7 linked regions of the Nothobranchius furzeri genome follow. The protein of the gene in region 2 binds, or shares a complex with, the protein of the main gene of each other region. Links are inferred from orthologs where the notes say so. Each region holds a gene or a part of one and is shown on either strand. Other genes may lie near its edges.

Region 1 (4,146 bases), on a different chromosome or scaffold from region 2:
CAGCTGAAGTGGCAGCAACAGAAGAGGTCATTAAAATATTATATTATATAATGTGTGTGGATCCGGCCCGCGAGATGGTTGTGTAAACTTTATTTTCATACTTTACAATGTAGAGTGAAAATAAACTTATCTTTGTGAGCAAGTTTTCTCTGTAGAGTATAAATAAAACAAAGCTGCGCTCAAGGCTCACACAAGAACTTGAATCACATCCAATGACATGGCGACCGTAGATCAAGGCAGATCAAGGAAGCACAATATCACAGAAGCAGAAGTTGAGGTACCTGTGGGTGAGGTGGAGAAATGAAAGGAAGTACTTTTGCAAAACAAATAAGAGAAAATCCACGGAGAGACGCAGCGTTGCTGAAGCCGTCAATGTTGTAAATTCTTCAGAGAGATCTGTGGCAGATATAAAAAAGATGGTCCAATCAGGATTCGATTCCCAGACTCCCAGGTGAAAGTCACATGTGCTAACCAGTCAGCCAAATGGAGATCTCCCCTATTCAACTAGCCAGGGTGCATGATAAATCGAGTTACAGTAACAGGACACACACTGTCACAGACGCATGACATTCCTTCTCAATCTGTCCCCCTGCTGATATTCTGCATTCCGTATTCTGCGCGTCAGGCTGTGTGTGTGTGTGTGTGTGTGTGTGTGTGTGTGTGTGTGTGTGTGTGTGCGTGTGTGCGTGTGGGGGGGTCTTGTTCTGTGTGAAAACGAAGCAGTACAAGTGATAATGCTGCAGGATTTCATAATTTTATTCTTCTCAGCAGCAGCACTGCAGGTGCTCTCCATGTCCAAAATGTGCGTAAGCCAGGTGCTTAGTCATCTTAAAGTTGTGTACATTCTTCCGCTAAGTTTTCTTTCATAAATCCCAAAGTTTGCTTGTAAAGTTGCTTACACAGTTTTCCGACCCTGTTTGTGAGTAAGCAAGCTTTATAAATGAGGCCCCAGGGCTGGGCAGCCGTTATAGGGGAATACCACACTGTTAAGACCCTCAGTTAGTTAGTTAGTTAGTTAGTTAGTTAGTTAGTTAGTTAGTTAGCTAGTTAGTCTGATAGACATTAAATGGTTATGCAATTACTATAGTTTTGAACTATAATTTATAGTTATATTCTTCACCTAAATAATGGATGAGTTTATTTTTAAATGTTTGCTTAATCCAGCTTTTCTAAGGAGAAATAGGTCAATATTATATTATATTATATTATATTATATTATATTATATTATATTATATTATATTATATCATGTGTGCTTTAACTGCCCTCAAATAAATTCTGTTTCTATTTCTGTGGCTACCTCTAGTGGTCAGAAAGAAGCACTACAGCAGCCGTAAACTGTAGTGAATGTCGTGAAGGACGCTCGGTTTCCCGTCACAAGAGTCCGCTTACGTTTGATGGCGTTTGTTAAACTTAAACAAAGACGGAGGCTCTGAAGATTTGTGCTTTCTTAGTTTTGTGTTCAAATTTGAAAATATTAGGTTTATACCCCAGTCAATGACTCCTGTTGTCATGGAAACAGGTTGGTAGTGTATGTTTTAGCTTCGGTTTTAAACGGAGACAAACATTCCGGTTTTAAACTATTATTACAGCAGTTACGTTGATTTTTGGTTAATATGCGAAGCCGTTAGTTTTAAAATTCGTGTTGTTTTCCCACTTTTAGTGTTTTTAGTTGTTCGAACAAGTTTTAAGGAAAGTATAGAAGCACTTTAATAAAGTGTCTGGTTTTTAAGTGGAGTCTGGTGAACTAAACGTGTTTTCTGTTGTGCCGGATGTTTATGTGGTCCAGATGAACAGGCTCGGAACCGATTCCAGTCCGAACTGGAGTTTGTCCAGTGTCTGGCCAACCCGAACTACCTGAACTGTGAGTGACTGATCCACAGCGAGAGAAGCGGGTTCCTAACGTTCACAGAATGAAACATCTGGTTCTGTTTCAGTTCTGGCTCAGAGGGGTTACCTGAGGGAGAGACCTTTCATCAACTACCTGAAGTACCTGCTCTACTGGAAGGAACCTGAATATGCCAAGTTCCTCAAGTAAGAAGGGTCCGGGATCCACAAGCAGACCAAGCTGGTCGTACTTTTGGCTCATCGGGGAACTCATGTTGTTTTTAAAGAGCAAGTCACCCCTTACAAGAAGCGCACTTCACTCCCACTTCATGTTTGAAAAATGCAACAAATGCTGTTGCCTAGCAGACCGAGAGGGTGGAGCCACTAACAAATACACACACTCACGACATTGTGACATCATAATGTACCAGTTTACATCATAGCATACCTCTTAGCCAATAGCGGTGGCAGATTTAAATTCAAATGCAGTGCAGAGTTTTTACCTGACAACGGCACAACACTGACAGTTTCAGGCAGAAAATTAAAATTTTAACTAAAATACACTAAAGTGCAAAACTATTGACTACACGTGTCTGCAGGACAATTAGACACGCATTTATATAGTTTATCAGAAAAAAAATAGTTGATTTGGGGGTGACTTGCTCTTTAAAGAGCAAGTCACCCCCAAATCAACTATTTTTTTGCTGATAAACTAAATAAACGAGTGTCTAATCGTGCTGCAGACACGTGTCGTCAATAATTTGGCACTTCAGTGCATCTTAGTTAAAATTTAAATATTCTGCCTAAAACTGGCAGTGTTGTGCCGTTGTCAGGTAAAAACTCTGCACTGTATTTGAATTTAAATCTGCAACCGCTATTGGCTAAGAGGTATGCTATGATGTAAACTGGTACATTATGATGTCACAATGCTATCGTGAGCCTGTGTGTGTGTGTATTTGTTAGTGGCTCCGTCCTCTCGGTCTGCCAGGCAACAGCATTTGTTGCATTTTTCAAACATGAAGTGGAAGTGGAGTTATTAGACTCTGGTAGGGGTTGACTTGTTCTTTAAAGTGACGATCAGTCAAACACTGCATCGGTGTTTCTTCTAAGATGTACATGGGGCCACTGGGGTACGTCTCATCATGATGAACCCCCCTTCAAGGACATTGCAGTTGTCCTGGATATTTTTACACGCTTTGTTGTTGTTTAATAAAAGGTGGTTTTCCTGAAAAGTAGGGATGCTCCGATCCAGTGGCGTGATTTTAAAAGGATCGGGAGAAATTAATCAAATTTAACCTTTTAAAACAACAAACGTGACTTTTTTTAATTCATTCTGAGATAAAGAATTTCCAATGGAATACTACCAGTTTAGTTTTAATTTCAACAAGTTCCTCTACATCAATATTCTTTGTTTCGTATGCAAAAACAGCACCTTAACATCACACAACTTACATCAGGCAGAGATTCAGACACCACGCTGCAGCTGTTAGCAAACAGGCTAACGTCTGCAGCATGGTGGTATTTTAAACCGGACAGAAAAGGCAGAGCAACAGCCACGTGTAGTAAGTGCATACTGGGCATTCAACATGCTGGAAGAATGTTTCCATGATTCTCTGCCTTCAAACAAACTACCTTCTCTTTCCCCTTTGGGTGTCAAAATGAATCACCGGTCTCCATTAATTCCCAGTTTGCCACTTACAGTCCCAGTTCACAGTGAACTCGGACAAAAAAGTGGAACCAGCTGACAGAAAGGTACGCTAATATATGAAAAAATAATTGCATACAAACATGTTTCCTGCAGCCCCAAAGCCCAAAGCACAGGTAGGTGTTGTGCGTTAAAAGTTAGCCTATCAGCAGAGGTGCCGCTTACCTTATCCGTTACGGGATTGTGCATCCATCAGTCCAGCTGCATAATGAAGGAGGAAACAACCTTTAAATATATTCACAATGTAAACGCGTTTTTAAATCGGTGTACTTCCCAAACAAATGAAAGTGACAAAGGACAACTTGTAAGTGTTTTTTTATCTTTTTTTATTTTGATGCTTTGCTGAAAACGATCGGATCAGGAGCTAATAAACATGATCGTAACACGATTTCTTAAATGGTGGCTTTACAAGTAAACGCACAACTTAGACAATCAAAAAATGGGTACAGACAGAAGCTTATAACCCCAACCCCCCCACACCATATGAAGCTTAAGCTAAAATTTAAGAGTAGCATACTGATACCATAAGAGTTATACACCAGAATTGAAATTCATGAGCATGTATTCAAATCCACATTCTTGCTTTAAAAATAAAATAACCGTTAACACTTTCTG
Region 2 (4,070 bases):
AGTTAAGGACCCAAGGCAGCTGTGGAGCTTTCATGTGTAATGGTTCCAGTTCAATTTCCCATGAAAAAGGGGCACTAATGGGTTAACAGTGGAAACGAGAGGGGCAGGGAGCGAAAATCAATGCTTTTGTTGAGGGAAAGAAAGGAAGGCTTTCACAGGTCTATGTATCATTAAGCAATTGAGAAAGCTAATTAGAATGAGGTAAAAGATGTGCAGATCTCGCAGCTAATTATTTCCATGGCAACCACAGCTCCAGTAGATGATGAGAGGTAGCATTCAATTTGTTCCAATCAAGGCAAAGACAAGAGAAAGAGAGACCCCTAGTGGACGGAAAGAAAAACGTCCACAGCAAAAACCACCTCTTATTCAGTAAAGCATTAAAAGGTTCTTTGAATAAATAGCTTTAGCTGTTAATACACTATAATTTTCATCAACATGAGGAATAAATGAAGCATTTTTTAGATAGTGAAACAAATTCAAAAACAAATAAAACTCTCGAATAAAAGTTGAGCAGTATTTTATTTTCTATTAAGATAAAAAACAAACAATTAAACAAAAGTAGCTACATTAAATGAGTCCATGTTAGTCTGAATTCTACTTCTAATGTCTCTGCTTGCTTGGGTCAATCTTCTCCAGGTGAATCAGAGGTTTCAGTTGCTCTGCAAAGCTGCGCATGTCCTCTGAAACCGTGTCCTGGCCAGCAGGGGCCAACACGCTCAGTTCAACTAGGTGCGAATTTGACATTCGCTCTGTGTTTTCCGTGTTTCCTGGTAGCTGGACCCGAGAAACGTTGCAAACCACCACTTTCATAGCTCCTTTGCGAAATATGTGGCCGCTGGTGACAAATTCGTGGTCCATGCGGAAGCCCATCTCGTTCAGGAACTCTGGAAGGCTGTGAGAGGCAGCCACGTCAACGCAGTTGCGTACCAAGGCGTAGCGGTTTTTGTCTCCCACTTCAGGTTGGCCGAGATAACGCAGATGCCATGGAGCATTTGGGTGGGAGAGGGCGCGCCGGGCACGCAGGATAAAAGGATTTCCCTGCTGGCCTTTCAGAAGGTACACCAGCTCATGGTCTGTGAAAGTCTCGGGTTCCATGTTGTCACACAGACCACGGAGGCGATGCAGCAGGCTTTCCAGAGCCAGATCTAACACGCTGCCTGGATTCAACAAAAACAAAGAAAATAATGCTTCATTGAAGGAAAAATAACAGCAATCATTTTCTAACATGAATAATTCAAAAATAAAACAAACATCTTATGTCACTCAAACTTTATCTGAAACAGTAAAGGTATAAAACATGTATTCTATAATCAGTCTTCATCAGAATATGTTTTTCATGTAACACGTTTCCTTAAACTGTCAGATTAGAGGTTAATCCAGCTTTTGAGGACTTTTTCCACAGTTATGCTTTCATGGAAGCAGAAACAAGATTCTGAGATTTTACAAATTAGTAAAAATAAAATGACTAATAACTGATAGTTTCAGTTTATGGTAGAAGATCTTTTAAATCTTAGTTATCACCTACAAATATGTGTTCCTTATGCTGTACATCTTTGGAAACCCAATTTAGTATTTTTATTTTGTTGCTCTTAGTGGTTTGAAGGTTACAATAATAGCTTACTGCCGTTGTGTATGTACCTGCACTTTTGTTTTTATTTTTTTCTTCTTCCTTTTCTCTAAGCGTATGTTCTGCTCTAGAGTGAATGTCCCCCCTGGGATTAATAGCCTATTCAATTCAATTTAGATTTTTCCCCATTAACAGTCATCCATCTTTCATTGTTGACATAATAGCTGATATAAAATACTACATATGGCCACTAATGCAAAACTGACAATTGTATAAAACGTTGAAATGTCTGAAAAGTAATTTTTCTTGTGTACTTAAAAAGCACTCAGGGAGACTATTTTTATTTTGTATCTCACTAACTCACCTTGTAACAAATATTCCATCATATTAATCGTCCCACCGGTCACAGGCATCACGGTAACAGGAGGGGCCTCCATCTTTTCTCAGGTATCTGCTTTTGTCCCAATTTAAAAAGAAAAGCAGTCAGTAAGCTTAGCTCAACATGCTAATAAATAGCTAAATATTTCACTTTAAGAAAAAGGTCGAGGTGGTTCTAAACTTATTTTAATCAACACTTTGCATGCTGGCTCACTGTTACTTGATAATATGCAGAGCTTAATGTAAATAGCTACTTATGATGTTAACTTGTTCGTTATGCTAGCTAATAGTTAAAAGGCTAAATTATGTTGCTAAGCTAAATCATTCATACAGTTTGCGACTCCCCCAAAAAGTCTACTTTTACATGAAAAATAGCCATAAAGCAGAATGCTACTCCGTACCTGTTAAGGTAAACCAGAATAAATGTTGGCGTAATGGTTTGTTAAAGACCCGGTAAGCCTCTTCCGGTTAGCATGTAGCGTTAGCTAACCGCTAGTTCGCCAAGTTTTTACGTCAGCAACATACAAATGAGTCACTCCAGCTGTTCAAGTAAAAAATGGAGGAAACGTAGTCAAAATAAAACCACCCACGCATGTGGAGATTAGACAAAACATTCAATATGCATCAAAAATACGAGAGCATCTTTCTTTGGCTTGTTTTTGAAGCGCGTTACAACCGCTATGATAACACTCTGCTGCCACCTACTGGAGAATGACGGTTTTACAACATCTATGTCTAAAAACTACGGTGCACAAACGAAATGACAGGATCTTCGCATTAATATTCCACATTTCCTGAAATAAAAATAGAAATGAAGTTCATTCTGCAACTGCAGAAAGTAAATTAATGATCCAACAGTTTATAAATAATCATGAAAAAATAATCAGTCCAGTCACAACTAATCTGTTTCTCTATTATGATTTTATTCAGTTGTCTTCATCAGATCATATTTTAATCGCTTATAACTCTTTCTCAGAACGTCATTTTAAAATATCGGAACAGTTTCTTAAAAATAAATTCACTTCATTGTCTTTGGAAATTTTTAAACATTTAAAATTTAAATTGTATTATTTTATTCATAAATTCAAAATCTGCAAAATGAGAAATGTATCCACATTTCAGCAATATATCGTAACATATTATGGAAGAGTATGTATAAAATAAAATATATTTTAAATGTAGAAATTTATTTATTTATTTATTTATTTATTTATTTATTTATTTTGGGCAAAAATTGAGAAATTTTAGATTTTACCTCCACAACCCTGTGGGAGTAATAATTATACATACAATCATATTAGAAGTTGTTGACAAATTGATCACTAAATCAGAGGACAGTGTGGAAACTACAATCACTAACTCTTCAGTTTAGCTTTCATCTCTGCCAGGTGTGTTTCTACTACACTTTTATTTCACCATAAATGCAGTCAGTTTCACATGCATATCTATGTCTTCTTGCGGGAGGTGCCTTGATGACAAGAGAAGAATAAATAACAGTCGGGTTTTCTTCTTCTTCCTGCAGCATAAAACAAGACATTAATTACCTTAGCAAAACATCACATGTGGTATTTCATACATACACTTTATAATACTCATCATACCTTGCTGCCAAATCCGCAACAAGAGCTGTGAAACGGAAATGCTGAGGAGAGACAGAAAGAGAATCAGGTTGAAGGGCAAACCACTGTGCATGATTAAAATCTATATGTAAATTACAAAAAACAGGAAGTCTCAACGAAAACCTACAGCTGCAAATCCTACCTGCTTGCAGTCTTGATTTGAAGCAAAAAATCACGAGTGCTGTTACAGCTAGACATGCCGCAGTGATTGATACTCCATAAATGGCTGGAAACGTGTTTTCAGTCTCCTCAGATTCACCTGTAGAGTCAACAATATGTTTATTTTAATTGTTTAATTTTAATTTAGAATTTAAAAAAGAGGGTCGCGGCATTCACTCGCCTGCTGATGTGTTTAAAACTGCTGATGCTGATGTGTAAGTGCTGGTAACAGTCGTGCTATTGTCCAAAATCTGACCTGCCGTACAAACGAAAACCCCAGATGGAGCTACGTCCACTGATATTATCGTATTGTCCACCTGAAGCCTTGAAGTCTCTTTTCTAGTTTC
Region 3 (4,018 bases), on a different chromosome or scaffold from region 2:
TGTGTATTCTGTCCAGGTCCTCATCCGTCACCTCCCGACTCACACCTGGTAAATCTCCTGTTAAATGGTCCGTCTGCAAAACGTGTGTTTTATTTGAGTCTTTAGTCTCCCTTTCTTCCCTTTTTAGATATTCTGACATGAAGAAGTGTGCGCTAGGGGCCTGGACCCCCGAGGAGGTGAGCACGTTGCTCTGAAGGTTCAAGTAGGATTGGATTATTTCATTTCTAGTCAGCTCCTTCCAGTTGGTCTGGTGGAAGGGGTTTGAGCTGGGACCTGGGGCGGGGGCTGCACAAGGGGGCTGTTGGACAACGACTTCAGTTCTCTGCCTGGACTCTCCCAGGTCCGGAGTGGGGGGGTCCTCTGTTGGAGAAAGTTCTTTATGCACCAGAGGTTTGATCTGACCAGTGACCGGGTCAAATGTCAGTCTGCGTTCTTTTAACCGCACAGGTTTAGTCGTGTCCTCTAGTTTCAGGCCATCCAAGTTAACGGAGTAGTCTCTAGGCCTGTACTTCCTCCTTTTATGCTCAGAGTTAAGGACTGGCCCATCAGGGTCATCAGACACACTTAAGCTTCTTTCAACCACCAACCTGTGGACCTCTGAGTTCTGCGGGGGAGGCGGGGGGGAGGGGGAATCCAGTGTTGCAGATAGATCTTGGGGAGAGCAATGAGAGAATACCTCTGATGAATTAGCAGAGGGCACTGAAGACCGAAGAGAAGAAAGTTTTTCACTGTGAGACACCGGTGCTGGGGAGGACAGAGGCTGGGAGAAGAACAGGGGGGAGTCTCTAGAAGATGGGCTGGGGACCGGCGTTCCCTTTGCTACGTACGCTGAACGCTTAGAAACGGGGTCTTGCTTTAGGCTCCTGGGACTGGAAGTGAGACTGCGGGGACTCCTCGCTGGGTAATAGCCCCCGCCCCCTTCTTCCAGTTTAGCTTGCTGTTGCATCACAGCAACTTTAATCAACGAGGAAGTGCTAGGTGCTTTGGCCATGCCAGGGGAGCTGGGACGGGGCTTGACAGCATTAACTGGAATTCTGTTTCCTTTGTCATTTTCAAGGTGGTCTGTCCGAGGCCTGTCAGGAGAAGGAACGACCTCCTGGTCGGCCAACGCATCGGCACCACCAGCAGTCCCGTTGGTGGGTGGCGGAGAAACAGAGTCATCAAACGCCGACAACCTGGAGATTTTTTCTGTTACGTACACGCCACTGTCTCTGTGCTCTGCCCGCCGCTTGCGGTTACTTGACTTCTCAGCCTTAGGCGAGTATGTGTTGTGAGCATCACTTCGGATTGTGACTTCTGTGACCGCTTTCCCCGATACAGAAATGTCAGGGGGAGAGGGATCGGTTTTGCAGGGATGGGAACTGCCATTGGTAGACCCCGGGACACTTGCTGAAACAGCCGGCCCAGGTTCAATCAGTTTTTGCCAGTTTCTCAGGAGTTTCTTTGCACGCCTTGCAAGGTCTTCATCCTTGGTTTTCCTCCTTACATCATTAATCAGTTTTCCAAGTCGAGTTTCCTGAAAATAAATAATTAAAAAGTGAAAACTATTTTGGCACCACAGCCTCTGTAGGCATTAACCGCCTATGACACGTTCATTCTTACCTCAAGTGCTTCTTTGGTAATCGGATACTTCTCAAGACAAGCGATCACTTCCAATACAACCACCATGTTGCATATCTGCAACAAGGACATGCCAGCAGTTAGTAACCCCCAGCTTCTACTGGTGGCAGTAATATTTAGATTTACAGCTGTAGTCTGTGGATGAAAATGTAATCACACTGGACAATCCCACCCAATCACATTCCCACAGTAACAGGAACTCCAGAGATCTGGACTAACTGCTCCCTGACTCCGGGGTGGAAAACAACATGTTCATCGGGAGAAACTCAGCTGGATGTTTAGCTCCAGAAACCGAACGATGTTGCAAAGCTGATGTGGCACAGAGACACTCAAAAATACCTGGAATCATCTCAGCAAAGGTTTATGAACTTGGAGCAAACCGAGCATCTTGTCGACAGCGTCAGCCCTAGCCCGAGTCGGTGGACCTGCCTGTGTTAGCTAGTCAGGGTAGTTAGCATTTAACTTACTTTAGAAGGAAGGAGCATTTCCTCAACGCTATTCCAGCCACTTGGTTCCCTAAACTTTGTGATTGTTTAAATAAAACATTTTCACTAAAACTGTGCTGTTTGGGATAACTTAAACTTTTCTTTAGATGAGATGATTTCGTAAAACAACGACTGGATTGCTCCTTTATACCAAATCTGCTTTGGTGTTAAGCTACGTTAGCAGCTAACAGGCTACATAACGGCAGATATCCGTCCAATCAACGCAGCGCTGCTGCTAAATTAGCTGGCATGCTAGCTGTCAACTCGCCCCGAGCCTTTTTGTCACCGAGACATCCGACGTGTCGAGGCCGAGCGCACCTTTCAGCGTAGTTTGTATAAACAGCGACGTGCCACCCGAACAGCTGCGTGGATGTTGATAGGCAAACAAGCTAGCGTTAGCTTTAGCATTGCTCACATTGCTCTGACTGTCAATGGCCTGCAGCAGCCGGTCCTTCATCTGCTGCGGGGTTGCTGAGACCGTTGTCATTGCCTGTTCGGTGCGATCCAGGAGATGGAGGGAGGAATCCTCCAAAACGAAAGCCGGGTGACTCAGAAGCCGCTTCGGGAACACGTCGGGCGCCCGAGCAGCATGCTTTCTGTCGCATGTAGGTCTGAGTTGATCTCACATGGAGTCGGAAATATGTGAGCGGAGCGGAGTCGCTGCTGCCTCGGACCTCCTCTCACTACCAACTGCTGGATGCCTCAACGGCCTCCTGCTGCATGCTGGGATACGATGTGTCTACGTCATCACGTTCGTACGTAACCAAGTAAACATCCCGACCACAGTGACGTTTTTAAATATAAACTTTGTGAGTTGTTTTTCAGTAAATATTTGATTGACCGATTTTATATGAAACGTTTAAATTAAATTAAATTCAAGTTTATTTATGCAGCAACTTGGTGGACTGAATGACGGACTGACAGTTATGAAAAACCTGTTTATTACAGATGATACATGTTTGTGATTATAAAAATAACAGATCTAAGACAGATGCTAAAGCACATTGTGATTTCCTACGGACCTGTGAAAAGGACAGCTTTTGAGAGCTTCTGGCTCATGCTGTCACACTGAAAGCTACGAGTGGCTAATCTTGCAAGGTGGTGCATCCTCAGCTTAAAGAACAGGGAGACAACAGATGTCAACAGTGTACGGGAGTGACACTCAGTTCCGTACGGTGTCTCACTGATGAGCTCCCCGAGCAAAAACACATCCTCTGACCCGATCCTCTTGTGCACGATGTAGATGACCTCCAGTGGTTTGATGGGCTGTGATCGTCTGCCCACTGATGCCTGGCGAATTGCCCACTCTGCTGCTCTGATGACCCTCACAGCACCTTCAGATGGGACCACAAGACCCCGTTGTTCTGCAGAGACAGCAAATGTAGCTCTGGTCATCACAGGCAGATGCAGCATCATCACCAGGCTGGCACGGCAGACATCACAGGACAGCTTGGTCATGGCTCGCCGCACAACAAATCCTGAAATTACAATTACTAATGTAACTGGACAGTGTGCTTGTCTTCATACTTTACATAAGCCTATAGAACAACACGGTGTCAGGTGAGAAATCAGACAAGAACTACAGTTTGTCTACCTAAAGTAATCATGATTAGTAAGTGTGGCATTAATTCCTTGTATTTATTAATCAGGGGGATTTGATGAGCCAGCAGTTTTTCTAAAGACTACAAACATCTTTTGTGTTTTTCTTCTGACCGCTTTTTTAGGTTCTTTTTGAAACACGGGGAAGGTTTTTTACCTGCTGACACTTTTGATTGTGTCTGCGATCTTCCTCAGAGCTGACCCCACTGAGCGTTTTTTTTACACTATCTGAATGAATAATAGTTCAAAAGCAAAGCAGATGACAGAGACTTATCAGCCTAACACAGTTGAATGTTTGTTATTGTTAAATCGTA
Region 4 (4,046 bases), on a different chromosome or scaffold from region 2:
AGGCATTTTGCACTCACAATCAGGCAAAGCCTTAGAGCTTCTTTTATTTAGGAAGGCACACCCAGAAGTTACAGATCAACCCCCACACACAGTTCTTTAGAACCAGCTGACCGGGGTAACCTAATCAACAGATTGTTGGACCTTCATCTTGTCTCAGGAAGTTACAGATAACAGGAGGGTGATCAAAGAGGTCATTCTTCACCACTCTAAAATGTGATCAAATTGATGACCTTCTGTTTAAACAAACACCTACACTGTTACATCAATAACCCTGTGATGTCAAAATCAGTTATATCCATCATGAATGAATACATTCATAAATTAATTAATTAATGATTAATTATTAATTAATTAATATAAATATATATATACTCAAAATAACAATTTGTTCTTGTTAATATTTATAATAACAGAAATACATATATTAGAATATATAATATAAATTAATATATTTATAAATAAATAAATTGACAAATCAATTAATTATTACATTGAATGAATGAATACATCGATAAATTAATTAATTATGGATTAATTATTAATTAATTGCTATAAATAAATATATTCAAAATAATTATTCATTCTTGTTATTATTTCTAAGAACATAAATATATATATTAGAATATATAATATAAATTAATATATTTATAAATAAATAAAATGACAAATCAATTAATTATTACATTGAATGAATGAATGCATAGATAAATTAATTAATTATTGATTAATTATTAATTAATTGCTATAAATAAATATATTCAAAATAATTATTTATTCTTGTTATTATTTATAAGAACATAAATATATATATATATATAAAATATAATATATGATATATATGAATATATTTTTAAACAAATTAATTGATAAATCAATTAATTATTACATTGATAAATGAATGACTGAATGAATGAATACATTGATTAATTAATCACCTCACACCTTGACTACTGTAACTGTCTTATTTGGTGTAAGTCAGAGTACTGTAGCTCGCTTACAGCTTGTTCAAAATGCTGCAGTGAGATTTTTGGAAGGCAAGAGAAAGTATGAACACACGACTCCAATTCTGGCTGCTCTGCACTGCTCCCTGTCAATTTTAGAATTAATTGTTTAATGGGTTGGCCCCTGCCTATTACAGCCACATGTTCCTGGTCTGGCACTCCTTTCTGTGAACCAGTTTCTGCTCTCGGTTTCCAGAGTTCAGCTGAGGACAAGAGGGGATAGGGCGTTCTCGGTAGCGGGCCCGAGACTATGGAATGCCCTTCCCTTAACCACTAGGCTCTCTCTCCCCATGAGTACAGGTTTGTAAAATACTACTTTTATGATCTGGCTTTTAACTCTGTGGGTTAGCTGTTGCTGATATTTTTACATGCTCTTATACTGTTATGTGTATATTGTTTTTTAGTTGTCCCTGCTGGTTTTATCTGTTTTATTTTGATTGTATAGCACTTTGGTGGCATGGTTCAAGCGGAGCTGAGGTGGAACATATTTTGGGGACTCATATTTTTGTAACACCGGAAGTGATAAGAACGGTTCATCAGAGGCATCCGGCTAAGATCAGCAATGCAGGTAATCGTTGATAATAGGAAAATAAAGTAAAACAAATGTAGGCGACATTGTTGTAGTTTATTATGTTCACTGGTATATCAAATATATTTGCTCTTTAAAGATAATTTAACTAGCCTTCATTTGCGAAGCTATGTAGCACGTAGCTTTTCCCTGCTAACATATTTGTTGTCTCGTTTGTTTGTCAGTCATCAAAATGAAATAAAATGATCGTTCTTCACGTGTCTTTCAGCAAAGGGAAGAAAAGCAGTTGGAAGCCTCTGTGGACACGCTGATCTCTCTGGTGGCTCACGTTAAAAACGCTCTGCAGAGTTTTATTGCCAAGTTAGAAAATGAATATGAGCGTTTGACCTGGTAAATTATTATTATTATTAAAATAGAAACGTACTATCTTATCGGTAAAGAAATGCAGCATTAGATGGGTGGCCGGTGATGCCTGTGCTTGGCAGCCTCAGCTCTGTCAGTGTGCCACAGGGCAGCTGTGGCTACATTATAGCTCATCACCACCAGGGTGTGAATGTGTGTGTGAATGGATAAATAATACACTTTGGAATCCCCTGACTCTGAAAGGCGCTATAGTGTGGGTCATTTTCATTTGATATTGCTGTGGTTGGTCTAAATTTCTAGGCTAGTGAAATGGTGCTGCCTGATCACGAAAACAATCATGATTATTTTTGTTCCTGTTGGTCATTTTTTAGTGCTAACTAAGGATGAAATAAAAATTGTAAATTAGGTTAATTGCACAGTCCTTAGTGAAATAACCTTAGTTTAAAATATTTTAGTCCAGATGCGGATCTTTTGATTAAAATTTCCTCTCAGACGCTACTTTGTGTTCTGCTTTGACTCAGGCCATCTGTTTTGGATAACTTTGCACTCCTCTCTGGTCAACTGAATACCATCAACAGACTGCTCAAGAATGAGAAGACGCCATCTTTTCGCAGCCAGGTTATTATTCCGTTGGTCTTATCTCAAGAAAGAGATGATGACTTAGCGGTGAGTAGCAGCATCTCAGTCTCATCTACTTATTTTTGAGTTAAGCTCACTAATAGCTTCTCACTGCCTCTCAGAAACTCACAGAGAAGCGTGTGCCGGTGTTCAGCCATGAGATTGTTCCAGACTACTTGAGGACCAAGCCTGATCCAGAGGTGGAGGAGCAGGAAAAACAGCTGAGTGCAGAGGCAGCACGGATAGGTCCTGATGCAGCACAGGTTGTGTGGAATAATATTTTGTGTCCTGTTAGTTGTCTGATTTGATAGCTTTCATCCGGCTCTGCTTTGTTTACCTTCATTTGTCTGCATGAACAGAAACAGATCCAGACTTTGAATAAGATGTGCTCCAATCTGCTGGAGAAGCTAAACAACCCACGGGAAGACCGAGATGCAGAAAGCGCAGGTGTGTTCAGGTTTTGCTGCACATTTTTTTACCATTAGAAAAAGTTGTTTAAAAGTTAAAGTCCCATTAGTCGTCACACACTAGTGATATTTTTTCTCCGCATTCGACCCATACGCTGGGGAAGCGGTGAGCTGCAGACATGGCCGTGCTCAAGAACCATTTGGTGGTTTAACCTAGGGCTGCTCAATTAATCGAAGTTTAATCCCAATTACGATCTGAGTTTTGAACGATTATTAAAACAAAACAAGCCAATTATTTGCTCCTCCCACTTACGCTGTCCTGAGTTGCAAATGAAGCGCTCCTCCTTGATGCTATTTCTAGCAGCTTCTCAGACCCCCTTCTTGACTTTTTAAATCTTAAAAGTACCTAGCAAACACCTCAGAAACATCTCTGGAAACCCTTAGCTACTTTCTGGATAACTGTCGTGGACATTTCCTGCAGGTTAGCTAAACACTCCGCCTGCGCTCCGGACCGTTCTTCAGGACATTAGGAAAGGGAATGATGTAGTGATGTGTCAGTCGCTAAGGAAACGGCTCACAGAGCCGACTCCCTGTTAGAGTAACCAGAGTGAGTAACACACACACCGCACCTGCGGACTCCTGAGCCTCTAAAAACAGCTAAATGTGCGCGTGCGGCGTGCTAAACACACGTGCAGCTTGCCCCCGATTGCTGTGAGACCGGGTTGGGGGGTGCAGCTTTGGTTGGGACAATTATTACATTAACTGATGGACCTGTAAATAAATAGTTTATAAATAAGGTAGAAATAAGTTCCTCACGCTGATAAATAATAACTAATCTCTCTGAGGACACGGTGCTAGTGCACTCTCCTACAGCACCTTGACACGACTCAATAAATGTTATGCAACATTTTGTGAACATCAATTTATTTGCGTTTATTTGTTATAAATGCCACTGTATAATTCTTGCTGTCAGTATTTGCAAGATATTGGTATTTGGGTCTGTACTGGTTAGACTAACATGAGTTAAACCAAGGTCTATAGCCCTTGGGTCATAGACTATGAGCTATAAGTATATTGGTCTTTTTATACTGGGAATCAGGAGTTATTTTAGTGATCATCTTGTTTCTC
Region 5 (3,500 bases), on a different chromosome or scaffold from region 2:
CCTGCTTGACAGCAACCATGCCCTACAGCTGTGGCTCCCAACCTAAAATCCCAATAACACACCCAATGGTATAATCTAAACTCCATAAGTGTTAAAACTCTGTAGGTCTGTGTAACGTTTGTAACTAATCAGATTTAATGTGCGTATGCAGGCAGGAGTGCTGGGGTTGGGGGTTCTGGCTCGTCTAGAACACAGGTCTTCAAGGATCAAAGGTTGGGAACCACTGCTCTACAGGACAATCTGTACTCTCCTCAATTGCTTTCTTAATCTATGGCCAGTCCAAAAACATCAAGTGAAAGGTGACAAACTGGTTTCCATACCTGTGAGGTGACCTGGTGCTGGTCAAAGTGGGAGAGGTGCTGGAATTTAGAGAAGATGTCTTCTGCAGTAGGAAAGGCTTCTGGCTTACTTCTTTTCCTCTTTTGCCCTTCTTCTCCTCCTGTTTGTGCAGGAGAGAGATGATTAAAAAAAGAGAAAATTGGTGGATGGAATTCTTTCCAGTCTACCAACTAGGCCAGCTGTGAAATCTACATAAGCGGTTAGGCTGTCATCTTTTTCTCTTCTTTTTTTCAGCCTCCTTTTATTTGAAGCTTCTGTGCAAAACGACACATGGTGATAGAGGGTACTTCAAAGGAATAAAAAATGGGAGTTGTGCTTTTCATTTATGAGAAACACAGCTGAGAGCTGAGGCACATCATGAGCTTAGAGGTATGTGTCACACGATCGTCCCAATCTGTGCAGGAAATCTTAAATCACCTTGATAAGGTCACCTGTATCTGAGGAGATGTGACTGTGAACAGATGAGAGCCATTAGCATAGAGATGGAGTGGAAACAAGCACGCACGCACACACACACACCTTTACCCAGCGTGTTTCTGGCCCCACACACACCAGGGGACACACTCTAGACCTTGTTTTTACCCTGAGTCTAAATGCTGACAGTGTTTGTCCTGAGGACGTTTATATTTCAGATCACCATTGCATTTTCTTTAACTTGTCAGTTTCTGCGTCCCCACCTCCTGCTCGCCGTCTAGTTAGTTCTCGTTTTCTTAATGAGAGCACAGCTAGCAATTTTTCTGCTGCTTTTGATCCACCCTGTTCTTCTGATAATGACCCAGATTCCTTAACTTCTCAGTTTAACGAGCACTGCCTCTCCATTCTGGACAACATCTGTCCTGTCAGAACCAGATCAGTTCCTGCAGTGAACCCTACTCCCTGGTTTAATGACAGCCTTCGCAGCCTGAAGTGCCAATGCAGAAAAATTGAGCGTTTGTGGAAGAAAACCCATCTCCACGTCCATCTGCTGCACCTAAAGGATCTTCTGACATCCTTTAACTCTGCAGTCAGAGACGCTAGGGTTTCCTATTTCTCCAACCTGGTGTCCCAGAGCAAAGGGAACCCCAAGGTGCTGTTTAACACCATCAGCACCATCGTCTCTCCTGCCACTCCTACAGCCTCCATCCACTCTGTTGTAGACTGTGAGAACTTTCTGTCTTTCTTTGTGGACAAAGTCAATAAGGTTAGATCTAGCATCTCTCCTTCAGCCTTATCGCTGCCTCTCCCGACTCCAACCAGGCCCATCATCCTAGATAGCTTTGCTCCTGTTTCTTTGCCTGAGTTAACCAAACTAGTTAACTCTATGAAGACCTCTGCATGCCCCCTCGGCATCTTACCCTCATCTTTGTTTAAAAGTGCTTTTCTGTCCATTGGTCCCAGCGTGCTCTCTATAATTAATGCTTCTCTGGTTTCTGGTCAGGTCCCTGCTTACTTTAAGAATGCTGTAATCCACCCGCTTCTTAAAAAACTGAGTCTCGACCCCTCTCTCCATAGCAACATTTATTGGGCCATTCCCATCTGTACCGGGTCGGCCCGGGCCGGGTAGCGTAGGTTGTTTACATATCTGGGTGGCCTGGTATTTTTCCGGGCCAACCAAGGCTCATTCTCAGCCCTCTTCTCGAAGGGGTCTGCTTCAGGTCGACCAGGGCCAACACACCCACTGCTGACAGCAAATTCACACCTTCCATTAGAGCAAGCCTCTGATTGGTGGGTAGAATCAGCCCACATGGGCTTAAGGCAAGGATGTGTGGAATCAACCGCGCCAACCTGGGGCCGACTGGGGCTACCCGGCCCGGGCCGACCCGGTACAGATGGGACTGGCCCCTAAGATAGCTTCCAGTCCAGTTTTCCTAGAGCTCATTCTACTGAAACAGCTCTTCTTAGGGTCTCTAATGACCTTCTGACTCACAGTGATGCAGGGGACTGTTCTGTTCTGGTCCTGCTGGACCTGACTGCAGCCTTTGACACTGTTGACCATCACCTGCTACTGGAGGGGCTGAGAGACTGGGTAGGCCTATCAAGCAATGCTCTGGAGTGGTTCTCCTCTTATCTCTCTGAGCGCTCCTTTTCTGTGGCCGTCTCCAAGTTTAGGTCCTCCACCACCTCGCTTACCCATGGTGTCCCACAAGGTTCTGTGCTGGGGCCTCTGCTCTTCCTCCTCTATCTGCTTTCTCTTCAGCACATCCTGAGCTCCTTCAAAGGAATCTCCTACCATCTTTATGCAGATGACATCCAACCGTACATCTCCTTTAAGCCCCATAAGATGTCTAAGCTTCAGCTGTTACACACCTGCTTAGACTCTATCAAAACCTGGATGGCTGGGAACTTTCTTCAGCTGGATGAAGATAAGACTGAGATCCTCATCTGTGCCCCAGACAAGCTGGTTCCCAAAGTCAGAGACTCTCTTGGTCAGCTTGCTTCTCAAACCAAACCTTCTGTCAGGAATCTTGGTGTGACCTTTGACCCAGCTCTCACCCTGGATTCTCATGTCAGTTCTCTTGTTCACTCTTCCATCTCAGGAACATTGCTAAGCTGAGTCCCATTCTGTCCCGCTCTGAACTTGAGACAGTTCTCCACACCTTCATCTCCTCACGCTTAGACTACTGTAACTCTCTTTTCCCGTGTCTGAGCAGAACCTCCCTGAACCGTCTACAGGTGGTTCAGATTGTCTGTGCTCTGCTTCTGACCAAGTCCTCCAAACACACCCACATCACCCCGCTTCTCCTCCAGCTTCACTGGCTGCCAGTCAACTTCAGGGTTCATTTCAAGATCCTGGTTCTGGTCTATAGGGCCTTCCATGGACAAGCACCATCTTACATTGGTGATCTTCTTAGTCCCTACACCCCCAGCAGGACCCTGAGGTCCAGTGATCAAAGCCTACTGGTTGTGCAGCACCAGGCTAAAGACCAAAGGTGACAGATCATTTGCTGCTGTGGCCCCCAGACTCTGGAACTCTCTCCCCCTGAGCCTGAGATCAGCGGACTCAGTGGTCTCCTTTAAAAAACAGCTGAAGAGTCACTTGTTCAAGCTGGCTTTTGGCGTGACCTTCATCACCCTCTCCTTATTCTGCTCTCCCCACCTATTCCGCCTTCCTCAGGATCCACTGATTTCCCTCTTTCCTGTTCACCCTCTCTCTCTCTCTTTAATCACAATTGTCTATTTTT
Region 6 (3,500 bases), on a different chromosome or scaffold from region 2:
CAAAATGAAAAACATAAAAAATGATTAAATGAATGAGGAAAGTTGGAAATCTTATTTCCGTTTTTACATGTTTTCACTTTATTTCAAACTATAATTTTGTGTTTTCATCCCATTTAGCTTGAATTTTATTTAAATATCTTCATCTTTATTTGTTTCAGGAGCATTTTTGTGTTGCTTTGTTTGAAGAATGAATCAGAACATCATAAAAACTACTAGAAAGATGTATTTTTAAGTATGTTTTGAATGTTTAATGTTCTTCAATCATTTTTAGAAGTATTTGTTGTGCTGAAATTCATCTGGTATGTGAGAATGTAAAACCCCTAATTTTGACATAAACATATAAATAGAGGAAAGAAACATACTGTGATATAGATCTTAGGCCACGTGGCCCATTTCTACCCAAATGAATGATACACCAGCTTTTACCAAGCACCCAGTTATACACTTTTGGGGAATCGTCAACACGTTTGACTAAGGGGGTACTCATGGTGCGAGAAAACGGCTCAGGAGTCCTAGCGTCAAAAAAGGTTGGGAACCACTGGCTTAGGCAACTGGTGTCATGTAGCAGATTTGGTAGTCCAGTGGTTAGAGTACCAGGCGGGCATGTAGTTTTGGGTAAGTTCGCACCCCAGCCTTGGCAGTAACTGTTTTTTAGCTACACTTTTATTGGGAAACTGTTTAAAAGGTAAGGACTAATCTGTTTTTTTACTTTCTTTGGTCATTTAGCCAGAGTGAGTCTATGTGAGGTGAGCAGAGTAAATCAACTAAAATGCTGCTTGAAAATGACCAAATTCAAAGATCTTTAGAGACACAAAATATTTTACAGAAAATAATTAAACTAAAATATGAAAACATGAAATCTGATTCAGGTGGCTAAATAAATTTATTCCGACACCACCGGGATTCGAACCCACGTCAGCACATGGCAAAACTGAGACAGCAGTCAGATGCCTTAACCGCTGGCCTGCCATAGTAAACAGCCTGTATTTGTATAGCTCCATCTTAGGGTTCTACAACCCCCCAAGGTGCTTTACAACACAATCAGTTATTCACCCATTCACATGCCGGTGGGGAGGAGCTATGATGTAGCCACAGCTGTCCTGGGGCACACTGACAGAGGCGAGGCCTGCTGAACACTGACGCAACCGGTCCCTTCAAACACCACCAGCAGGTAAGGTGGGTTAAGTGTCTTGCCCAAGGACACAACAGCGGCATTCTCTGGTGGGAGCCAAGATCAAACCTACAAACTTCAGATTACCCACTCTACCTCCTGAGCTGCCCCCCCCCCCCGGCGGAGGCACAGGAGTAAAGTGCTCGCCCCGTAATCGGAAGGTTGCAGGTTCGAGCCCCACTCAGTCTGTTGGTCATTGTGTCCTTGGGCAAGACACTTAACCCACGCTACCTGCTGGTGGTGGTCGGAGGGACCGGTGGCGCCAGTGCTCGGCAGCCTCGCCTCTGTCAGTGCGCCCCAGGGCAGCTGTGGCTACATCGTAGCTCATCCCCACCAGTGTGTGAATGTGTGTGTGAATGGGTGAATGACTGATTGTGTTGTAAAGTGCCTTGAGGGGTTCCAGGACTCTAGAAAGCGCTATATCAAATACAGGCCATTTTATAACAAACACAGCAACTGACTCACCTATGACACTGTTGTAGTCACGTTTTGTCAGAGCGGGCGTGGGCGGAGTTTCACTGAAATTAAGCATTTTATTTCTGGGTATCAACTCATGCTGAAGAAAATAACTTGTATTTAAGATAAATGACATCTCAATATTGCCAATGGTAATATTTTACCATATAATCTGCCTACCTTTGTTCTCAAAGGTTTAACATAGCATGAAATGGAACCTTTAAATGGCACACACTGACACCTAAATCAACCCAATAACTCAAATCTGACCGAGTGAAGCGTTTGAAAATCTCATGACCTTCCAAAGCTGCTCTGACCACAATCACCTGATGTGTTTGTAGGGGTAAAGGGGTGGGCAGCACCATCAACTGTGGAGCACGTTGGTGGCAGTATCATTATCGGTTAAGCTGACAGTGCAGTCGGCGGACTGCATTCAGCAAAAATAACCACGATGGGTTAGTGTCATGAAAACCAAACAACTTAACCAATGCTGACATAACTTAACTGTTGAATTATCTGAAAACAAAGAGTAAAACAAGTTGCCCTTCAGAACAAGTTTTAGGTCACGGCTCCTTCTTATTAGTCCCATTTGTTTAAACGCAAGAGCGTTTGGTCACTCCCACCTCAGAGTATGCATCTTACTTTGTTTTACCCTCTGATTAAAGCTCCTTGTTTGTTTGTAGATAAATATACATTTAAGCGGCTAAATGATAGGTTGATAAACCACCTGAGCTACATCAAAGGAAAAAGTTTTATCACTTAAACATGAAAATACTCCAAATCTATTTAAGACTCGAGGTGTCTGTGGTGCCATTTAAACCATGTCTTATATTCTGATTTTGTATTGTTGTTCTGTAATTAAGAAGCCTGCACTCCAAAAATCACTGAGCACGGCCGCTGGTCTGACCAGAATAGTTTCTAAATGATTCTTATTTGAGGTTTTGAAAGAACAAAAGCACTTTTACTTTCAGTCTTGACAGCAAAGTGTAAAGGGCCTTGAAGTTTTTCCTGAGTCATGCAACGTCTTGTCTGGGAATTTGTCTCCGAAGCTGCAGCCAAAAACAGGGAAAATAATTAAAAATTCCAGAGCTGGTGATCTGGAAGCTCATTATACTGGTCATGTGATGACGAATTGAGTAACAATACAACACTGCTGTTGCTCAGAGTTTTAATCTGGCAATATTTTAACCCCACATGAGGCTCAAGTTAGAACCTGCAAGCCTGCAAACCTAACGCCACCGTTCACGTCTGGGATCACTGGAAGCCAAGTTTATCCCTTCTGAGTGGGACAAACCGGTTTGGAAGTGGATATTAGAAAAAGCATCTGAATAATCCCCAGCTCAGACCGAGAGACAAATGTCTGAAGCTCCATAATTCAAGCGTGCAACCAAACACAAACTTTATTAGACGGACCTGGACTGGACAGAGCTGCAGGCTCATCCTCATTGGAGCTCAGCAGCCGCATGAGTTTGGACGGCTGAGTATCGTCCAGAGGAAAGAGGCTGTTGTAGTCCTGTGGTTAGAAAGATGCTCATGAAACGCAACCATGACATTACATCACTCATGCATTTCAACATGCCATTCCTGGCCTTTGCAGTTTTACCTCTATGTCTTCTCTCTGCCTTTTTCTCTGCCGTGCTGAGAGGGGGCCTTTGTGGTGAGAGGAGAAAGAGCTGAGCGCACACCACACAGACAACCTGAAGGGGGAAGAAAGTTAATGCAAAGCAGCTGAAATGCAGATTTAACCAGCAGAAAGGAGCTGCTCTTACTTGGCCAAAGCCTTCCCAGGAGGGTCTGAAAGGCTGTGCCAGTGGGCGGAGTCAGTGAGCAGGTTGGGTAAAATGGTACCGAGCAGCGTCAGGGTGATCTGATG
Region 7 (4,228 bases), on a different chromosome or scaffold from region 2:
TCAACGCCATAGAAAATGTGACTTTAAGAAAACCACATTTCAATACAAAATCGTGTGGACTTACCCCCGGACGGCACTCCGAATACTTCAGATCCTGAGTGTCCAACACAAAAAACCTCTCTTTGTAGTTATTTGGTGATGTTCTTTTCTTTTGCTGGGATTTTTTGATCATGGTTCCCCTCAAAATCACCCTGGGGAACATTGTCAAGAAGAACGCAGCGAGCGTCTGCGAATGGTTTTGTCACAAGCAGAGCCTCGCAGAGTCAGAAGAAGAAAAGGCAAAGTTGTGGATGATAAACTTCGTAGATGCTGTGGAGCTTCCGGCGTGAAGCTGCGGCAGGCAGTAAACCACATCCTTGTGGCAACAAATGATTTGCGCAAGCAGAAATACACACTGTTTGATGCACAAACACTGTAGATGTCTACCCTGCACATGTACTTTCACTAATGTTATAGAGAATTAACAAGTTAAGCCCAAAGCAGGACTGTGAATGCAGAAATCCAGGTTTTGGTAGTACTTTTTTAAACAATTGGGAAGATAAAATGAGTAACAAAACACAAAACATCACTGAAAAAAGTTAAGATAAAGAAATATCTCTCTTTCTCTAAATGTGTCTTTGCATTTAGGGGTTACACGTCAAAATATTGTTATTTTTCAGAGAAGTTTAGACTGTTTACAGTGAATGCAGTCCATTAAATTCTTGATTAAAGTAAAGAGTAAAAACTACTTAAGCCACATAAAAATTTACAAAACTCATCTAGGTGACAAGGAGTAAATAAATAAACGTGAGCAAACCGGTTCGGAACATTAGGAATTAAAATGCTGCTCACTATCTTTTCACAAGAGAATAATAGAATTCAGTTTGTCATTATCAACCCAATTTCTTTTTAATATCGATATCAACCCTTTTACACCGTTCTGTTTGTGGCAGGTGTTTCACATACATAAGAAATCACAATCATCTTTTTTTATTATTATTATTTTAGGATAAAATTCATAGATTTCTGCAGATTCTGAAAGAGGACAAACAGATCACAACATGCCCTATAGGTCATAAATTGTAAGTCGCTTTGGATAAAAGCGTCTGCTAAATAAACATAAAGAACAAACAATAACTGACATAGTTTGTAAAATGAGAACCCGAAGGAATTAATATACAGGTTATTGTTTTTATGTCTTTAAAATTAGTATTTTCATTCAAAAATATTCAACAGTTATCTGAATATTTTAGTAACTTTTCTTTTTCATGTATAAAATCAGTTCAGTTTGGGCATCAAACGGTACTTTTTCCATCGATCCTCTGAAGAACAAAGTAAAAGAAAAACAAATTTTTCCGTGCTTCCGGATATTTCTACCAATCAGCGTTGAGCTCTTTCTGTGACCGCACCCCAATCAGCGTTAGGAAAACAATCACGAGGACAGTTCAGCCAATAGAAATCAAACAGAAACGACTGGTCTTTTCTGCATTTATCGAAGAAGCTATGTTAGCCCTGATCTAATTTTCCAACGATATTTGATTAACGTTATTATTAGAAGTATATGTTGTGTTTCTAAAGGATTGTTCTTAAGGTGGGTATGAATACATTTACTCCCTTCTCATTTACCTTTTATGTAGTTCGCTTCATTTTTGACGTGCCCAATTAACTACCGGGATTAGCGGTGGCTATAGTTAGCTAGGTTTCTGTACAAAATGCAGCGGTGACGCTAACGTAGTTCTGCTTGTAGTGTTTGTCAATAACACATTGAGTCCGTAACAAAATAAAGGTAACACAGAAGACAAAGGTTCAATGGTTAGGTGCGTGCTAGGAGTTGAATTTGACTACTTAAATACCTAAGAACAACGTTTCAGCCAGATATTAAACCTATAATTATTAACTATGGCTAATAAAGCCTAATTTTACTTCAAACTAGATTGCAAATGTTTTACGCCAAAATGAGCAGTAGTGTGTATACTATAATTTACGTGTCATTTTAAGTTCATATCTACTTTTCCTACCAACAACAGCAGTAGGTGCAACTTAAAAACCCATCAGAATCTAGTTTTGCTTTGAATGTTTTGTGCTGGACTGGTGCTGCAACACATTAGTTTAGATTTTAGACTAACACTTTACTGGAAGTGTATGCTGATTATTGAATTTGCCCCTCCAGCCTAATGATAGAATCCTGCAGTTATTGGGAGAATGACGTTTGTCGAATTTTTAAATATATTTTATGTACAAGGATTTTGAGAATCTTTTATCGAAACTCTCAAAAAGTAAATCAAACAATAATAAATTCTTAATAAAAACATTTTATTTGTTACTGCAGTTTACATTTAACAGTATTTATTTGTACAAATGAGGGGCATTCAGGCTTTTACTACAATCTGTTATGTGTAATAGTGTATATCTTTTGATGCAGAGCTCTACACGATATGCTGTTACCTAATAAGTTATTGTGCTCATTAGGTAGCTGTAATGTATTGTGTAGTAGTAGTAATCAGCTGATAATGTCATGTTTTTCAGCTTAGCCATCAGCCACAGCTGGTTCTACATGAATGTGGAGCCGAGTTTTAATCTGAAGATGGAGATATAACTATGGTTTTGGGCTGAAATATTAAATTTAGAATAAGTTGCACTAAACTGCCACACTGATAATTGCACATGTCTACAGCACTATTAGACACTCATCTGTACAGGTTATCAGCTAAAAAAAAGTTCATTTAGGCATTTCTTGATCTTTAATAGTGCCTGGAATTCCTAATAAATGTTTTTTCTTTTTCTATACTTTCAGGTCTGCATCATGGGTGAACCACAGCAGGTCAGCGCCCTGCCTCCACCACCTATGCAGTACATTAAAGAGTACACAGATGAAAATATCCGCAAGGGTCTGGTCCCAAAGCCGCCTCCACCCATTAGAGACAGCTACATGATGTTTGGCAACCAGTTCCAGTGTGATGACCTTATCATTCGACCTCTGGAGAGCCAAGGCATCGAGAGGCTCCATCCAATGCAGTTTGACCACAAGCGGCAGCTCAAAAAACTAAACATGTCAATTCTTGTGAACTTTCTGGACTTGTTGGACATTCTCATCAAGAGTCCTGGCAGCATAAAGCGTGAAGAGAAACTGGAGGACATGAAGCTTTTGTTTGTTCACATGCATCATCTTATAAACGAGTACAGGCCACACCAAGCCAGAGAAACACTGAGAGTCATGATGGAGGTCCAGAAGAGGCAGAGACTGGAGACGGCAGAGAGGTTCCAGAAGCATCTGGACAGGGTGGTGGAGATGATCCAGGGGTGCCTTGCATCTCTACCTGATGACTTACCCCAGTCGGATGTAACAGACGGTGTGTGTGTTGGGACCAAGAGTGTGTCTGCTGGATCTAGTTTTGGTTGTTCTTCTGGACAGGCCCCCATTCTGAAAACCGAACCAATGGATGTAGAGGACACGGGCGCCAGCTGCATGGCTGCAGGTGATCAGGACAAGAATGTCCCAAGTTCAAAAACAGACAAAACATGGGACAAGGATGCTGCCATGTGTAGTATAATAGATGAGATAGCATGAAGATTTACAGCACATGCATGTTTTTACTTTTCACTCAGCATGAAATACTTTGTGTGGGATAAAAATACTATTATTTGTACATGTTCTTTTCAAATTCAACTAAATGTACTTGTAAATATTTCCTTAGCGTTTAAATCTTATACAGATCTTTGTGTTCACTGGGCTCAATAAATCTATTTGAAACCGCAGCAGGAGTTTAGTGCCGTCACAAAAACGATGATCTAATATGGTTCCACATAAACACAAAGTGCTTTTGTTAAGAATTTGTTGCTAATTCTGACGCTGTGGTTTGCTGATTATGCATTAGCGGTAGATGCGTAGATCCTTTAGCTAGTCGGCATATCAAAGAGCTTGATTCATCAGAGACCTGAGTAAAATTTAATTAAGTCATTCTGCCTTCTTTTAAAATGTAATGCAATGTAGACAAGTTTAGGGTTGGGGTGTGCTGAATTGAAAGGTGACATTTGATAGGTTTACGTCTGTCAGTCGTCTGTACATGTGATACTTTATACATACACTATTTTTCCAATAAAAATTCAAATAAAACCTATTTAATAGTGATGTGTCGGTCGCGAACGAACTGGTTCTAAGAGCCGGCTCTTTGAAGTGAACGACAGGAGCCGTCTCGTCATTGGGAGCCCTCCCCTCCCCCCTCCCCTTTTGCTTTGGTGAAAGCTGCAG

Evidence for each region.
Region 1: med18 (region 2) and med31 share a complex: the UniProt entries of both Homo sapiens proteins name them as parts of the mediator complex. The link is inferred for Nothobranchius furzeri from reciprocal best matches to the Homo sapiens genes MED18 and MED31.
Region 3: med18 (region 2) and crsp7 share a complex: the UniProt entries of both Homo sapiens proteins name them as parts of the mediator complex. The link is inferred for Nothobranchius furzeri from reciprocal best matches to the Homo sapiens genes MED18 and MED26.
Region 4: med18 (region 2) and med8 share a complex: the UniProt entries of both Homo sapiens proteins name them as parts of the mediator complex. The link is inferred for Nothobranchius furzeri from reciprocal best matches to the Homo sapiens genes MED18 and MED8.
Region 5: med18 (region 2) and med12 share a complex: the UniProt entries of both Homo sapiens proteins name them as parts of the mediator complex. The link is inferred for Nothobranchius furzeri from reciprocal best matches to the Homo sapiens genes MED18 and MED12.
Region 6: med18 (region 2) and med24 share a complex: the UniProt entries of both Homo sapiens proteins name them as parts of the mediator complex. The link is inferred for Nothobranchius furzeri from reciprocal best matches to the Homo sapiens genes MED18 and MED24.
Region 7: med18 (region 2) and med7 share a complex: the UniProt entries of both Homo sapiens proteins name them as parts of the mediator complex. The link is inferred for Nothobranchius furzeri from reciprocal best matches to the Homo sapiens genes MED18 and MED7.

The regions. Positions count from the first base shown.
Region 1 is NC_091750.1:26,556,666-26,560,811, reverse strand, and holds the start of med31 (mediator of RNA polymerase II transcription subunit 31), read left to right. Parts: upstream 1-1,346; 5' UTR 1,347-1,496; coding exon 1,497-1,521; intron 1,522-1,788; coding exon 1,789-1,863; intron 1,864-1,936; coding exon 1,937-2,033; intron 2,034-4,146. UniProt on the Homo sapiens protein: Component of the Mediator complex, a coactivator involved in the regulated transcription of nearly all RNA polymerase II-dependent genes.
Region 2 is NC_091745.1:72,040,841-72,044,910, reverse strand, and holds med18 (mediator of RNA polymerase II transcription subunit 18), read right to left. Parts: upstream 2,632-4,070; 5' UTR 2,347-2,631; intron 2,022-2,346; 5' UTR 2,005-2,021; coding exon 1,932-2,004; intron 1,158-1,931; coding exon 601-1,157; 3' UTR 501-600; downstream 1-500. UniProt on the Homo sapiens protein: Component of the Mediator complex, a coactivator involved in the regulated transcription of nearly all RNA polymerase II-dependent genes.
Region 3 is NC_091751.1:71,981,071-71,985,088, reverse strand, and holds the start of crsp7 (mediator of RNA polymerase II transcription subunit 26), read right to left. Parts: upstream 2,801-4,018; 5' UTR 2,593-2,800; coding exon 2,521-2,592; exon of another isoform or gene 2,424-2,520; intron 1,678-2,423; coding exon 1,603-1,677; intron 1,517-1,602; coding exon 1-1,516. UniProt on the Homo sapiens protein: Component of the Mediator complex, a coactivator involved in the regulated transcription of nearly all RNA polymerase II-dependent genes.
Region 4 is NC_091756.1:57,827,886-57,831,931, forward strand, and holds the start of med8 (mediator of RNA polymerase II transcription subunit 8), read left to right. Parts: upstream 1-1,246; 5' UTR 1,247-1,301; intron 1,302-1,446; 5' UTR 1,447-1,563; coding exon 1,564-1,569; intron 1,570-1,798; coding exon 1,799-1,920; intron 1,921-2,414; coding exon 2,415-2,559; intron 2,560-2,633; coding exon 2,634-2,774; intron 2,775-2,870; coding exon 2,871-2,958; intron 2,959-4,046. UniProt on the Homo sapiens protein: Component of the Mediator complex, a coactivator involved in the regulated transcription of nearly all RNA polymerase II-dependent genes.
Region 5 is NC_091741.1:82,309,236-82,312,735, reverse strand, and holds part of med12 (mediator of RNA polymerase II transcription subunit 12), read right to left. Parts: intron 440-3,500; coding exon 321-439; intron 1-320. UniProt on the Homo sapiens protein: Component of the Mediator complex, a coactivator involved in the regulated transcription of nearly all RNA polymerase II-dependent genes.
Region 6 is NC_091756.1:31,519,125-31,522,624, forward strand, and holds part of med24 (mediator of RNA polymerase II transcription subunit 24), read right to left. Parts: coding exon 3,397-3,500; intron 3,325-3,396; coding exon 3,231-3,324; intron 3,141-3,230; coding exon 3,041-3,140; intron 2,677-3,040; coding exon 2,593-2,676; intron 1-2,592. UniProt on the Homo sapiens protein: Component of the Mediator complex, a coactivator involved in the regulated transcription of nearly all RNA polymerase II-dependent genes.
Region 7 is NC_091742.1:50,786,289-50,790,516, forward strand, and holds med7 (mediator of RNA polymerase II transcription subunit 7), read left to right. Parts: upstream 1-1,428; 5' UTR 1,429-1,570; intron 1,571-2,773; 5' UTR 2,774-2,782; coding exon 2,783-3,547; 3' UTR 3,548-4,097; downstream 4,098-4,228. Other genes in the region: itk (tyrosine-protein kinase ITK/TSK), read right to left, coding at 65-202. UniProt on the Homo sapiens protein: Component of the Mediator complex, a coactivator involved in the regulated transcription of nearly all RNA polymerase II-dependent genes.